4 separate regions of the Mus musculus genome follow, and all the other regions are reported to be linked to region 1. The links are microRNA targets in miRTarBase. Many come from high-throughput screens and were not tested one by one. Region 1 holds a microRNA gene; each other region holds the end of a gene's coding sequence.
The links. The annotated mature microRNA mmu-miR-138-5p reads AGCUGGUGUUGUGAAUCAGGCCG and lies in region 1 at 1,996-2,018, opposite strand. An mRNA with a match to its seed (bases 2 to 7 or 8) in the 3' UTR can be bound and repressed. Matches are read on the target gene's strand: a 7mer-m8 pairs with bases 2 to 8, a 7mer-A1 pairs with bases 2 to 7 and ends in A, and an 8mer does both.

Region 1 (3,901 bases):
TCTACCTTGGCAGGGATGGTGAGATTTGTAAAGCCTCCCCCACGCCACCCCCCAGCAGGTCCATGGCCCTTGGGGTAGATCTTATCTTCTGAGTTTTAAATCGCCAGCTACCTGGCAAAAATCACAGCTCCCCAGCATCCCCACACCATTCCAACACACTGTGCCCTGGCAGCTACGGAAAATTCCTGATAAAGATCTTGGGATAGAAGAGGCCAGGGCTGGTTTTCAGCCAGGAGTAAGAGGCTATGAAATTGCTGAATGACCTTGGCACATAAGTTCTTCCTTTCTGCAAAGCACTCATGTTAGCTGCAAGGGATGTAGGGCTGCTTCCCCAAACCTGCTGCCCCACTGCACTCTCTGGAGTAGAAAGAGGTTTAGGCTGGGTCCCTTAAGGGGCTTATCAGTAGGACAGTTGGTGACTGTTTGACACCTTGTGCCAAAGCACAGACCCTGAAAATGACTGCCCTGAAAATGGAATGGCATACATCCTGAATCCAGCTTCTGAGAGGACATAGGACCCCTACTCTGAGTAGTCCTGGAATTGAACCTCAAGGAGTTTCCATTCTGTTTGTTTTAGGGGTGTCTCTGAGCAAGTCTCCCCACCACAACAGCAAGGTGGGAGCCACACTGTACCAAGGCCAGCCAAGGACCAGACAGACTCAGATCAGAAACAATATCCTCTGGCTGAGCCACAAGGACAGGAGGGCACATCATAGCTACCCAACAGTAGTCCTGCCATCTTCTTGGCCACAGAGGCCCCTCCAAAAAGTTTCTCATATAGACCAGGTTCTGAGCCTGGAAGCTTAGAGCATGAAGCACCAGCAGAGAAAGGGACCTCACAGGAGATGGGGGCTGAGGGAAAAGGTGGGCAGGGACAGAGGAAGAGGTGGGTTGGCTGGTGACAGAGAATTGGTGGGATAGCAGGCTGAAGGGGTCATCTATCCATTCCACCTCGATCATTAGGTAATAACACATATGATTTTCTGTGCTGAGCAACCCCCCACCCTCCCCAAAACAAATCCCTGTCCTCTGGGGGCTCACATTCTAGAGGGCGAGACAGGCAGCAATGCACAGACAAGCAATCACCAAAATACACGTAGTGATACGTGCTATGAAGAAAATAAAGCTTTTCTTAGGTCTCTCTGAGGATGCAAATCTTGAGCTTGGCCACCCATATGTGAGCAGGAACTGCAAAGGGGGTGGGGGATGGGGTGGGGGAGGTAGGCAGGAAGAGCAAAGGCCCTGGACAAAAGGTGGCTTGGGCTTCCAACGGAGCAGGAAGGCCTGTGTGTTAGGACCAGGCAGGCAGGGTGTGCATGTGAAAAAAGGAACCCGGGGGCTCATAGAGCTATTTACAAGTGGCAATGGGGTATCGTGTCCTGAAGACAGAGATGATAGCATTAGCATTGTGTATGAAGTCAGTTTTTTTTCTTTTTGGAGGGTGGGGTGGGAGAGCTCCATGGACAGAGATGTCTCTGAGTAGGAATCCTTGACAGGAAGGGCTTTGGATGCCAGGAAGAGGAGCTGCTTTTGCCCTGGGTGTTTTGGTACCAGGAGCAGCAGTTGGGTGGTGTACATCAAATCTAAAGGAGTGGGACTGGGGAGGGCCGGCAGATGCCACTGCACGGTCAGCCAAGCACAGGGGAGCAGTTCAACTCTGAGCCCTGGGCTCGCCTGCTTCCTCCTCGCTGCACGTGGATTAGAACCTCTCAGGATCGCTGGCTCTGAGATCACACCTCAGAGCCTTTGTGGGCTTGGGCTGAGCAAGGGGAGGGCAGACCCTGGCATCTGTCTAAAGCTTCCCAGGTGACTATGAGGTGAGGTATGATAGGGAGGCTATGGACTACTGAACATCACCTTTCACAGTCAGTTGTCCCAACCCACCCTGTCCCCAAGTTCCTGTGTCCTGTGGTCCCACGGCGCTTGCCTGGAGAGGATGGGTAGGGTGCAACCCTGGTGTCGTGAAATAGCCGGGTAAGAGGATGCGCTGCTCGTCGGCCTGATTCACAACACCAGCTGCAGCAACCATACCAGAAATGGGTGGCTTCTTCCTGGGGCGTGGCTTCTTCCTGGGGGCGTGGCTCCTCCAGTTCGAAGAAGGTAGAAAGCCCAGAACCCTGCAGAGGTCTAGGATTGCCAAACCAGGAGCCGGATCCCTGCCCACAAGGGGCTTACAGACTTGATGACTCCACGGAAAAGAGACAGATCCAAACCCTACTCAGTGTAGGGACAGAGAAGACACAGAGATACCAGGTCCACAGCAGCCCTGGAAAGCCAGAAATAGGGCTGAGCTGCTGGGATTCCCATAGAGCCTTGAAGAGCACAAAGGTTTGCCTGCTGTAATTCTAGTCCTTTTACCTGGACAGTATTGAGAGTAGCTGGACACCAACGCGCCTTGAGCTTGGACCAGCTGATGTAAAAGGGAAATGTGCAGACACTAAGACATCTATCTGCATGCTTAAAGAAAGGACTCCTGACTGTTTCTTGGCCTTCTGGCTAAGATCAAGGGGAGGAAGGACTCCTGGCTTCTTTTCCTTCATGGGTAGACTAACTGTTTAGCCACCATTTACCCCTTGGGGCGCCATAGGTGTGAGGAATGTATTAGACTTAATGCAACTGTTTGGGGGCATAAGAACAAAGTATGTCAGTGCCCTCAGAGGCATGCAACCCAGGATCCCAAACCACGAGTCATATCCAAAGCATAAAAGCATAAAATCTTGGGAGAAAATAATACATGGGTTCAGAAAAAAGGTGGCTTCTTCTGTCTGGGGCAAGGATGCTATAAGGTGTCTGTAATATCTCAAAGAAAAGAGAAGAAACAGTAATTTAAGCTTGAAGCTTCTCAGCAGTCTAGAATCCTGAATAGTGATCACTGGTTGCTGAGTGAGAGTTGACTTTCCTTCTATTTATTTATTTATTTTTTGTCTCATATGGCAGTAAGGCTCCATCAACCCCTTAGCCCTCCATGCAGGCTTAGCTGAATTTTCAACGCAGGGCTGGTCTGAGCTCTGTGCTGCTGCAGCTACACACACTGAAATAGCAAACCTAGAGAACTCGGGTTTCCAGTAACAGGTAAACTCTTCCATCCCAGCAACTCTGCCAGGAAACCAGTGACTCAGCGCTGTCTGCGTCTCTTACGTCTGGACTTTCATTATAAAAGTCTCTTCAGCTTTCTCACTTTCTGGGAAACTCTTCCCCCGGACCAGGGCTGAGGGGGAGGAGATATGGCCATTCTGTCTCATTTTGAATTCCAAAGGTACATTTTAAAACAAGCTTTATGTTGTTTGGTTAAAGCAGTTTCAAACTAGGTATGGTTGCACATGCCTGTAATCCCAGAACTCAGGAGGTAGAGGCCAGAAGATCTGGAGCTCATGGCTGTCCTCAGCTACACAGTACTTTCAGGCCACATGTCCCCAAACAAAACAAAAACACGGGATTTTACCATGTGGCTTATGATGGCCTTTTTATTTTTATTTTAAGACAGGGTGGTCTTGAACTCGTGATCTTCCTGCCTCTGCCTTCCAAGTGTTGGAATTACAGATGTGCACCACCAGGTTCAAACCTTTTAATTTTTTTTTTTTTTTGTCTTATTCTTGAAACAGTCTTGCAATGTAACCAGTGCTGGTCTGGTGGTAACTGCTATGTAGCCCAGGCTAGCCTCAAAGTTGCAGCAATTCTCCTGCCTCAACATCACAAATGCTGGGATTATAGGCTTAATAGTCTTGAGATTTTGGAACCCAGAATCTCATGATCTGCTCCTGCAACAGGGACCTTGGAAACATAACGTCAGTTGCTTTTAAAAGCCCAGTACCTGGTTAGCTCTATGCCAAGCCTGCTCCTGGAGCTGCAGAAGGAACAGGAAGAGGGATCTATCTGGTCATACTTTGCCACCTGGGTGTCA
Region 2 (3,901 bases), not on the chromosome of region 1:
TACGGCTACAGTAACCCTAAGATCCTAAAACAGAGCATGACCTTGAACCTGGCCGACCCGGTGGGCAGTCTGAAGCCGCACCTCCGCGCCAAGAACTCGGACCTTCTCACGTCGCCCGACGTCGGGCTGCTCAAGCTGGCGTCGCCGGAGCTGGAGCGCCTGATCATCCAGTCCAGCAATGGGCACATCACCACTACACCGACCCCCACCCAGTTCTTGTGCCCCAAGAACGTGACCGACGAGCAGGAGGGCTTCGCCGAGGGCTTCGTGCGCGCCCTGGCTGAACTGCATAGCCAGAACACGCTTCCCAGTGTCACCTCCGCGGCACAGCCGGTCAGCGGGGCGGGCATGGTGGCTCCCGCGGTGGCCTCAGTAGCAGGCGCTGGCGGCGGTGGTGGCTACAGCGCCAGCCTGCACAGTGAGCCTCCGGTCTACGCCAACCTCAGCAACTTCAACCCGGGTGCGCTGAGCAGCGGCGGTGGGGCGCCCTCCTATGGCGCGGCCGGGCTGGCCTTTCCCTCGCAGCCGCAGCAGCAGCAGCAGCCGCCTCAGCCGCCGCACCACTTGCCCCAACAGATCCCGGTGCAGCACCCGCGGCTGCAAGCCCTGAAGGAAGAGCCGCAGACCGTGCCGGAGATGCCGGGAGAGACGCCGCCCCTGTCCCCTATCGACATGGAGTCTCAGGAGCGGATCAAGGCAGAGAGGAAGCGCATGAGGAACCGCATTGCCGCCTCCAAGTGCCGGAAAAGGAAGCTGGAGCGGATCGCTCGGCTAGAGGAAAAAGTGAAAACCTTGAAAGCGCAAAACTCCGAGCTGGCATCCACGGCCAACATGCTCAGGGAACAGGTGGCACAGCTTAAGCAGAAAGTCATGAACCACGTTAACAGTGGGTGCCAACTCATGCTAACGCAGCAGTTGCAAACGTTTTGAGAACAGACTGTCAGGGCTGAGGGGCAATGGAAGAAAAAAAATAACAGAGACAAACTTGAGAACTTGACTGGTTGCGACAGAGAAAAAAAAAGTGTCCGAGTACTGAAGCCAAGGGTACACAAGATGGACTGGGTTGCGACCTGACGGCGCCCCCAGTGTGCTGGAGTGGGAAGGACGTGGCGCGCCTGGCTTTGGCGTGGAGCCAGAGAGCAGCGGCCTATTGGCCGGCAGACTTTGCGGACGGGCTGTGCCCGCGCGCGACCAGAACGATGGACTTTTCGTTAACATTGACCAAGAACTGCATGGACCTAACATTCGATCTCATTCAGTATTAAAGGGGGGTGGGAGGGGTTACAAACTGCAATAGAGACTGTAGATTGCTTCTGTAGTGCTCCTTAACACAAAGCAGGGAGGGCTGGGAAGGGGGGGGAGGCTTGTAAGTGCCAGGCTAGACTGCAGATGAACTCCCCTGGCCTGCCTCTCTCAACTGTGTATGTACATATATATTTTTTTTTAATTTGATGAAAGCTGATTACTGTCAATAAACAGCTTCCTGCCTTTGTAAGTTATTCCATGTTTGTTTGTTTGGGTGTCCTGCCCAGTGTTTGTAAATAAGAGATTTGAAGCATTCTGAGTTTACCATTTGTAATAAAGTATATAATTTTTTTATGTTTTGTTTCTGAAAATTTCCAGAAAGGATATTTAAGAAAATACAATAAACTATTGAAAAGTAGCCCCCAACCTCTTTGCTGCATTATCCATAGATAATGATAGCTAGATGAAGTGACAGCTGAGTGCCCAATATACTAGGGTGAAAGCTGTGTCCCCTGTCTGATTGTAGGAATAGATACCCTGCATGCTATCATTGGCTCATACTCTCTCCCCCGGCAACACACAAGTCCAGACTGTACACCAGAAGATGGTGTGGTGTTTCTTAAGGCTGGAAGAAGGGCTGTTGCAAGGGGAGAGGGTCAGCCCGCTGGAAAGCAGACACTTTGGTTGAAAGCTGTATGAAGTGGCATGTGCTGTGATCATTTATAATCATAGGAAAGATTTAGTAATTAGCTGTTGATTCTCAAAGCAGGGACCCATGGAAGTTTTTAACAAAAGGTGTCTCCTTCCAACTTTGAATCTGACAACTCCTAGAAAAAGATGACCTTTGCTTGTGCATATTTATAATAGCGTTCGTTATCACAATAAATGTATTCAAATAATGGTTTTTAAAATCTTGAATTTCCTTTCCCTTTGCTAATCTTTGCTTCCTAAGCCGTATACTGGGGGTTTTCCAAGTTTCTGGGGTTAGTGCTATTGCATTCTACACTTAGCAATTTAGAAGCAAAGCATTTAGAAAGAGTAGAAGGAGAAGCTGGGGCCTGGTTGAACTATTCTCCCGACCCTCTCCCAATTCCCACTTGCCACCCTCCCCACCCCTCACCCCTCCAGGGTGACCTCACAACCAAGGAAGTGACCAGTGTAACAAATCCATGTTTATTTCTTAATTTGTTTCAAAATAATCAATCTGGCTTAATTATTGAGGCAGTCTGGAAAAGTCCTATTATAAATACTATGGGACAGAGTCACAAGAGAGATGGGCCCAACACTGATTATATAACATCTGTAATCCAAACCTCAGCTCTGGGGAGACTGAAAACTTGAACTGTGTCTACAGATACAGCTGAGGTTATCAACAGGTTTGTATTCAACAAGGGAATAATTTTTGCTTCGTCCCTTCTCATCCCCATGAGCTGCTGTGATTATCAAGCAGCGGCAGCAATTTGATATCCAGAAACACTTCACAAACCACTAATTGGAGCCTGGCTGTTAGCCCTGCTCCAGTGCTCAACAGGTCTAGGAGTACCTGTGGTGGTAAATCCAAATTCTCACTTCCTCAGGAGTACAGCTAGGTCTGCAGAGGCTCCGACAGGCTTGCGGGTTACCAGACATACTCCATTGTAGTAATACTCCTTTGAACAAGGAGTTACTGGGAGCCGAGGCACTTTTCCAAACAGTGAATTTGCTGAAGTCAGCAATCCAGAAGGTGAGTGGATTTTGACCATATGTAGGAATAGCAGAGGGACAGTAAAGCACTTTAGGGTGGGGCTCTGTGGAAGCTAAACAAGAGCAAAGTAGAAAACACACACAGGCTAGGGAATTGATCACCCTGCATGGCTAGACTAAGCCTCTGACAACAGCACAATGGAGAAATGCTGCAGCACTCCCCAGGTGGCTAAAAAGAAAAGAGAACAAAAAAGTTCAAAGGTTTTCAAGCTTATCCTTACACTAGTTCCTTTCAACTAGTATTTTATGTACCTGAAATTCTGACTGTTCTAACCTAAAGAGGCAGAAAAAATAATAATAATGGTAAAAAAGGAAATTCAATAATGGTAAACTGCAAAAGCAGAAAATCAGCTAATTACTGTAGACAAATGACTAAATCTGTTATGGACTTTCAGTGTGCTATACTTTAGGTAGCACTTAGGATGAAGATAATGGCATATAAAGTCATCAATTCTGTCTTAATTATCTATATAAATATATGTACATATGTATAATTAATTCATAGACTATTAACTCTCCATTAGGACAGAGAGTTTATGTAATCAATAGAAATGCCCACATGGAAATATTGTTATCTTTTCTTTACCTCCCAAGAGCTCAGTGACACAACGCCCTGAATCAGATGAAACATGTTGAGCATCAGAAGCATCTTTGTATGGATCTAGGTCTCTGGGCCTTTTAAAGTTCCAGGCTTCTGCTTGTATTATCCTACTCTGCCCTCCGGCCAGACTTGCATTCTGGTTCAAATGATCACTCTCACCTGTTCTCAGAGGACTTGCTGTCCTAGTCTGAGTTCACACTTTGATTTCTTTCAACAATGGATTACAACCTGCAAGTGTGAGCCAAAATAAATCCTTTGCCTGCCCAGGTTGTTTATGGCTGGAGAGCGTTGTCTCAGCCACAGAAGAGTAAC
Region 3 (3,901 bases), not on the chromosome of region 1:
TCAACACCCTGCTCCTCCAGACCACAAAGAGACCAACAAATCTGCTTTACAGATCCCTGGAGAGGCTAAGTCTGGTCATGCCACCATCCTCAAACCACTGAGGGCAACATGGAAAACAATGGCACATCCCCTAACTCTGGCTTCGCCTTGGGCTGGCCCCCATGGTATCTGAGCCCCAGGGGGCAGCAGAGAATGTGTATCAAAAGCCCAAAGCAGGTTCACATCCCTGGTCTGTGACTGACTTGCTCTACAGTCCCTGATAAACCATCTCCTCTAATTCTCCAGCCATAGGATAAATGGGTTTACCTAAGCTGACCGTGAAAGGCTCTCCAGACCCACAGTCATGCCAAGTGCAGAGAATGAGAAGGCTTTAATGTGAAGGAGGCCTGAGCACCATTGTGGCAAAATCCTCAAGCCATGGAAAGTATCAGCACATGATGACAAAGTAAGGATTTGGCCAGCAAAAACCTGAGTCGGGAGAAACGGCAGCTGAGAGCCAAAGGAGGGCCGTGTCTCTAATAATCCATAATTAGTAAGACACATGTGCATATAGCCATTCATTCATTTATTTATTTTATTTTTCAGTGCTGGGAACTCAACCCAGGGCTTCACACATGCTAGAATAGTATCATTGACCACATTCCCAGACCTCTTGTTGTTGTTGTTGTTGTTGCTGCTGCTGCTGCTGCTGCTGCTGCTGCTGCTGCTGCTGCTGTTCTTGGTGAGACAGGGGTTCTCTCTGGGTAGCACTGGATGTCCTGGAACTCACTCTGTAGATTGGGCTGGCCTCAAACACTCAAGAGATCCGCCTGCCTCTGCCTCCCAAGTGCTGGTATTAAAAGCGTGCACCACCACTGCCCGACCCTTTTTAAAGGTCTTTAAAATGGGATCTCTCTTAGTTGCCTAGGCTGGCTTTCACTCTGTAGCTCAGGCTAGCCATGAGCTCTCAATACTCTGAGAGTCCTCTCGTGTACCTGGGATTATAGGCCTGTGCACCAGGCCTGGCTCCATACTTGATATTGATGGAGAGAAAAAAACAAAAAAAACAGTCCTATTGAGCTCTAACTGTGAGGAATTTGTTTATTTCTATCATCTAGAATGACCAGATAAATAGGTGAGCAAATATAGAAGGTTATGCCCACAAACTGTTTGCTATAATGGGGCCCAATTCAGACCCTGGCCCCCAGACTCTGAGAGCATAGGTACAGGAAAGTGACCAAGGCAGACACGGGGAGCCTCCAACAAAAAGACTCTACCTATATGTGAAGCCCTCAGCAGGCAATGGTGACAGTGGTCCCCACGAGCAAACCTACTCTGAAAAGCACCCATGGGTACACTGTGGATGCATTCTGACACCAGTGTCCACTGCTCACGTGTTTACCTCACAGAGACACCAAGGATGCGGCTGAAAAGCTCTTCTCCTGAAGCTCTGGCCTGCAACTCAGTGTCCAATGGGAATACGTTCCCAAGGTCAAGAACACGGGGACAGAGCCACTCCTAGAGGATACCAGAACCCCAGCGTAAAGACAAAATCCCCAGAGTCTCTGATCCTGTGCACAAGGACAGAAGGAAAGAAATGGTACAAACCACTCCACTTCCCTAAGCCTGTCTGGTCCTCAGAGCCAGCTCACCTTGCTTACCTCCTTCTCAGTCTTAGGAACACACACAGGAGCCAGGTCTGCAAGCCATGGCCCAACTTCTAGCTAGACTGTCCAGAGCCCAGTGGAGATGGGAGGCCCTTCCCAGGACACATCAGCTCTGACCTAGAGCCCCTCACACCCTCACGATGGAAGAAGGGCCCACAGGGGCCGCCCCAGGCCTCACTGTTCTCTATGGCTTTTTATTCCTATGTGATTCTATTGCTCGCTCATATAGGGATTGGAGCCGTGGCGTACGGTGAGGATAAGCCAACAGAGGGCTCTGATGTGGAACAAGAGGGCTCGAGGTAAACCAGGCCAGTGGCTGCAGGCCAAGCCAAGTGACTCACCTCTGCCAGCTATGACAGGATGGGGTGAGGGACTGCTGAGGTCCTTCACTGCTCTGACCTACCATTCTAGTGCTGAGACACACACTGAAATGCTGGCACCAGGGTCCCAACTGGGTACCCGGAGGAGCGACAATGGAACATGGAATGTTTAGCCTGGGAAAAGTGGGCACAGGAGAACAAGTGCAATGCCTGCGGCCTGAAGAAACCCCTTGATAGCCAGAGGGTGAGGGGGAAAGCTGAGAGTGGTCCAAATACAGAAGGAAGAGCCGTGGTGACAAGTGGATCGTCTCCACCCAGTCAGGCAACAGCAGGAGAGGAGAAACCATGATCAGGTTTCTACCACAGGGAGTCAGGGTTAAGTAGGCAACTATAAGCCTGTCCTGTTAACCCACATTGACACTGCTAGGAGACAGATTCAATTGTCACAGATTGCCATCAGCAGACCCTGAGTGTGCACCCAGCCAAAAAGGGTATGAGAAACTCTTCAAGGTACTGGCACCACTGCTGGGGCCACACCACGGGTCCCTGCCCAGCAGCTCCCCGAGGATCTGTGCTATGGAAAGAGGTGCTGAGGGGAGATGAGCTGAGACCCCCACACACAACATTCTCTTTATTTTCAGTGCCCTACCTTCGCTCCATGGAAGAGACAGGCTGAGGACCTGGGCAGGAAGGCATCCAGGGAGAAAATGAGAACTGTGACTGGCCAAGAAGCTCCTGCTGGGCCTCAGGGCTACCTGCTGTCATGACAGAAACTAGGGGTAGAAAGAAGCCCCCATCTTCTAATCTAGTTGGGGGAACAAGCATAGAGTAGATCCGAGGGAGGCGGGCAGAGCAACGGAGGAAAAGTCCTGCGGCACAGTGGGGCCTGGGAATCGGCCCTTGACCTTCCTAAGAGGCCCTGCCCTTGAAGGCCTCTTCTACACTCTCACACGGTGAGCGACACCATCACTGAGGATGAAGAATCAGGAGGTGGACATCCATAACATTGGTCCCTGTCAACCCTGTGTGCAGCAAATGTGTTCCTCCCCGGAAGCGGCAAAAGAAAGTGTATGAGTCGTTATTGGCGAGGGAGGTGGCGATGTCCAGGCTCTCAGCAGAAGCCTGGCTGATGAGATCAGACATGACCCAGGCCCCGGCCACCTTTGTAGGCCCATCCTGCCCATCAGTGCCTCCACTCAAAAATAGCACATCAATAGGTCCCAGTGGCTGCCTTCCCAGCTCCACTCCCACGTGCAAGGCCAGTTCTTGGTTCCGACCGCCCTTGCCAGATCCCTGCAGCTGCACCGTGGGCTCACCACCAGCCAGGAGGCAGACCGGCCCTTTAGCCTTTACCACCGCTTCCAGAGCCTCCTCCAGCTGCAGGTCCGGGAGCTGGAGCTCAGCTGCCAGCTGATGGAGTTCCGCCTCCTCCTCCAAGGGACGCTCAGCCAAGGATGGAGTGAGGTGGGCTGCAGCCACCCGGGCTAGCAGCCCGTAGAACCGAGCCACTCTTTTTACATCACCCTGCATGGCTGTGCTCAACACCATGGCATGGTAGCCCAGCACCTCGGCTTGCCTCTGAGCCTCAGCCAGCGCCAGAGAGTTAGAGCCGATGATCACATTGAGGACGTGGCCACAGGTGTGTGGTCCATGGGGGTCAGAGTCAGCTCGGGAGAGCACAGTCTTCACAGAGCGGGGAAGAGCAGCACGGAGGCCATAGTGGTTGAGAATATGCAGGCAGTCTTGCACACTGTGGGTGCTGGCCACCGTAGGGCCACTGGCAATCACTTCCAAAGGGTCCCCAATCACATCTGACAAGATGAGGCTTATCACCTAGACAAAGGCCACAAAATAAGGTTCAGTCTTGCCTCCTCCGTGTTCCGGGGCCCTTAAGGACAAACTGGGCCTGGGTATACAGCATCTGGTATGCTTCCT
Region 4 (3,901 bases), not on the chromosome of region 1:
CGAAGAACAAGGAGAAACAGGTACGTCTACCAGGTGCACGTCTGCCTGCATCGTCAGTAAAAGGTAATTTGGCTTCCCCGTCTACCCGGGCTAAACGGCCAGATTCTCCAGCATCATTTCCACATCCCAAGGTGACATCTTTGAAGGACGCAGCAAAAAAGACGACTGCTCCTTCCAACAGTGTATCGCAGTCCCTGGCTTCTCCAAATCCAGGGTCTAAACCAAGCACTGCACAGTGTGCCTCAGAGTCATCGCGAAAATGTGTCACCTTCCCCAAGACTGCACAGACCAAGGCTATTCCAGCCCAGAATTCAAGAGATCTGTCTAAGTCCAGACTTTTACCAAGTAAATCTCCTGGAAAAATGGAACCAAAGCATTTGAAACACAATCATCTTTCTTCTAGGGATGAGTCACGTATAAACTTATCATCCAAGTCCCCAAAGCTACCTAAAGGAGCCATGCACGGAAGGCCTAACCCTTCTCCTTTCCAGCCACCTGCCAAAGTGACCAAGCCCAGTTCTAAAACCGGAGCCATAGGTCTAGGGACACAGTCTCAGCCACCCACTAGAACGCCGAGGTCAGGAGCAGTCTCAGCACAAAGACTTCAGTCTACATTGAATTTAAACAGTCCAGCTTCTGTGTGCTCAGGGTCCTCTGCAAAAGCTACTCAGGGATCGAAAGGTAAGAATACAGTTTCAGTTGCCAAAAAGCAACCTCAGAGTAAGGGTGTCTGCCGGAATCCGGGACCTGGCTCTTCAAAGTCTCCTGGCCGTACCCCGCTGTCTATTGTGACTGTTCCCCAATCTGCTACCAAGACAGAAACTGTCTCGAAGTCAGCCAAGACTGCCATGAAGGGCCAGTACTCAGCTAAAGGGCCTCCCAAAAGCAGCAAGCCACCAACTTCCTTCAGGGACCCACCCTCATCTGGTAAGGGGGCAGACAGCGGAGATAAAATGCCCACTGCCAGGAAGAAGGAAGAAGATGACCATTATTTTGTTATGACCGGAAATAAGAAGCTTAGGAAATAAATACACTTGTATCGTTTCAGCAAATCAGGGTGATCAATGAATGGCGAGCCACAAGGATCACCAAAGATCTTCCTATTTGTGTCTGTCCGGAGAGCTGCAGACATGAAGTCAAGATGGGATGAAGCTGGGTCAGGGAAAGGACCCATGCATTTTGTGTATCAATGGACAAATGTGTGAGTTTTGACCTGTATCATCTTGCTAATGATGTCTGCTGTTTGAGGGAAGTGTAAAAGTCCAAGAACACTACTAGAATTTTAACTATTGGTGGTATATTTTTGAACACAGGTTAACTGTGGAGGTTATCTGCTAATAGCAACTCCGATACTCTTAAACACTAGTTACTGTGCTCAGCCACAAAGCAATGGTTTGCTTGGCGCTAGTGTGTGCCTGTAATCCCAGCTCCGAAGGCTGAGGCAGGGGTACACAGTAGAAGCCAGCAAGGTTTTGAAATGTGCTGTAATAGGCACCTAATTTATTGGTCAGGAATCCTGGTCCAGCAATCCTAAGTACCAATGGCTCCTGCTGTTTACTTTGATATTATTCTGGATTAAATGGAATTCTTACTATTTAAATCTCTATAATATTTCCGTATCAGAAGGGACTATTTGGTTTTTTAATTAAACTTGGCTTTTTAATACTGTATCATTTTATAACCAATATTTTTGATAAAAAGAAAAAAAAACTCAACCAAGTAAGTTAACTTATTGAATCATAAGCTGAAATTTAGTAAGAATTAAGTTTTTTAAAAAAAAAAAATATATATATATATAATCTAGACACTTTGTATCTTATATTTTTAGATGAAGTCTGTGCAGTGTGACAGGGAAACATTTAATAGCTTTTAGCATACTAAGATATTTTAAATAGACATTTCCTATATGTACATATAAATTTTTTCATTAAAATAATGTGTTTTGATACCAGAATTAGGTTTTAATGATCTTAAAATTAAAAGGGATGGGGGGTGGCTCAATGGATAAGTCATGTCTAGTACAGGCATGGGGATTGGAGTTTGTGTCCCCATACCTACATACAAATCTGGGTGGGCTTGATGGTCTGCCTGTAGTCCCAGCACTCAGGAGGAAGAGACAGGATTTCCTGGGACAAGCTGGCTGGCGAGAGGAGCCGATGGATGAGAGGCAGCTCTTTTGAGAGACCACCCCTACCTTAGTAAAAAAGGAAGATTCCCAAAGTCAATGTCTGTTCTCTCTATGTACAGACTCATACATATATCCTGTTCACATATGCACACACACACACACACACACACACACACGCACACACACCTATGAATGCATATATACACACAGACTCACATACATGCATGCACACCACATATATTGACGCGTACAAAAGATTAAGATGGTATTAAGAGAACCTTTGTGTGATGCTATGCACACATCTCATCAGGTGACTTGTATTTCTTTTGCTAGCACACTGTCGATTTTAATTAGTCTCCAGATTATGTTCATCTTCATTAGTAAGGCCATGTTGTGCTCAGTTTTCCAGTGCCCAGCAGACAGTGTACCTTCTGTTCTGTAGGCAGATTCTCGTCAGGAATATCCAATGATTTCATGACAGCATAAACACCTTCCACCCACAGGGATACTTGTAAATGATTTATGTACAGGCTTGTCACTATTTAAAGTTTATTAATGTACTTTGGGAACTTTTAAGGGTGTTAAGTAACTATGGTATTACCAGTTATCCTAAGTTGTAGGAAGGAAAAGCAGGTCTAAGAGGTACACGCTTGTAATTCCATTACTTGGAAAGTGGAGGCAGGAGGATCAGAAATTCAAGGTCATGTTCAGCTATGCACTAGAGACACGCCTCAAAAAAAATTGTCACTTTGACTCCTCTTTTATAACTCAGATGCCCTCCCTTTAAAATCTGCTTTCCATCCTCCTCCTCTTCCTTTCTTTTCTTTGTGAGACTGAGGATCTATGGTGTCTTACATTGATAGATAAGCATTGCGACTGAGCTTCCTCCTCGGCCCCTTCAAATACGGTTTCTAACACAAACAAAATAGTTGACCCAGACCTGCCATCATTGAATGAGTGAGCATCGTGGCTGGCTGCTGGCATTCTCTAGACCTACATACAGCAAGAGAACCTTGGGTAAAGACCACTGGATCTTTACCCAAGCAGTATGCATAAAATCAAAGATCTACTCAGGATCCCTTACAACAGAAAACCACCAAAAACTTGCCAAACGTTCCGGTTCTGAGCATCACTAATGGCAATATGTACATCTTTGAAAGCACCTCTTAGCACTCAAAAGAGATGCCAGGGGCATTTCTGTAATCAGGAATATCTAACACACCTTTCAGAGAGGAAGGATTGTAGCTTTAGAGAGGCTATTCCCTCATAGAGAGGGCCGCCGAAACTATTTCTAGATCAGTAACTTCTGAGAATTAAAAGAAAAATATAAATTACACTATAGGCAGACTAAACCTATGACTCAGTACATTGTACAGTTTTATAAACATTATCTTTTGTGCTGGGTAATCAAGAATAAAGATATTCTCAGACACCTGGCACAAATTCCCGAATTAACTTTAGGATTATTTATTTAAGATAAAGATTGGGTTTTTTGTTTTTGTCTGCTGTTCAGTAGCATTTCTCCAACTGTAGTCATATAGGGTGAATTTCTTTGTGTGTGTACCTTGTCTTTCCTAAGCATAGGTTGTATGTGAATAAGTAATTCAGTTCCATGGGAACTGAGAGAACACTCAGCAACTCAGAACACTTGGTATTCTTGCAGAGAACCTGAGTTCTATTTCCAGCACTCCCGGGGTGGCTCACAAGCATCCAGAACTCTTGTTTCAGGGTATCTGATGCTCGCTTCTGGCCTCCAGAACACAGGCACCAGGC

Region 2: the mRNA of Jun is a reported target of mmu-miR-138-5p. The part of its 3' UTR that is shown has no 7-base or 8-base seed match.
Region 3: the mRNA of Glyctk is a reported target of mmu-miR-138-5p. Seed matches in the 3' UTR shown: 7mer-A1 at 828-834.
Region 4: miRTarBase lists Gas2l3 as a target of mmu-miR-138-5p. The part of its 3' UTR that is shown has no 7-base or 8-base seed match.

Annotation. Positions count from the first base shown.
Region 1 is chr8:94,322,429-94,326,329 of GRCm38, reverse strand. It overlaps Mir138-2 (microRNA 138-2), which reads right to left and starts at 2,019; the gene lies at 1,949-2,019. It also overlaps a transcript of Nup93 not described here.
Region 2 is chr4:95,047,296-95,051,196 of GRCm38, reverse strand. Jun (jun proto-oncogene) reads left to right here. Exons shown (of 1, transcript NM_010591.2): 1 at 1-2,161. The coding sequence ends at 930. Among named protein-coding and RNA genes, the nearest start is that of Jun, 3.0 kb to the left of the region's middle.
Region 3 is chr9:106,152,309-106,156,209 of GRCm38, forward strand. Glyctk (glycerate kinase) reads right to left here. Exons shown (of 4, transcript NM_174846.4): 4 at 552-3,799. The coding sequence ends at 2,933. It overlaps D030055H07Rik (a long non-coding RNA gene), which reads left to right. Exons shown (of 7, transcript XR_003948237.1): 3 at 1-445; 4 at 586-721. It overlaps Mir135a-1 (microRNA 135a-1), which reads left to right and starts at 1,816; the gene lies at 1,816-1,905.
Region 4 is chr10:89,410,330-89,414,230 of GRCm38, reverse strand. It overlaps Gas2l3 (growth arrest-specific 2 like 3), which reads left to right. Exons shown (of 11, transcript NM_001033331.2): 11 at 1-3,901. The coding sequence ends at 1,028. Among named protein-coding and RNA genes, the nearest start is that of Gas2l3, 32 kb to the left of the region's middle.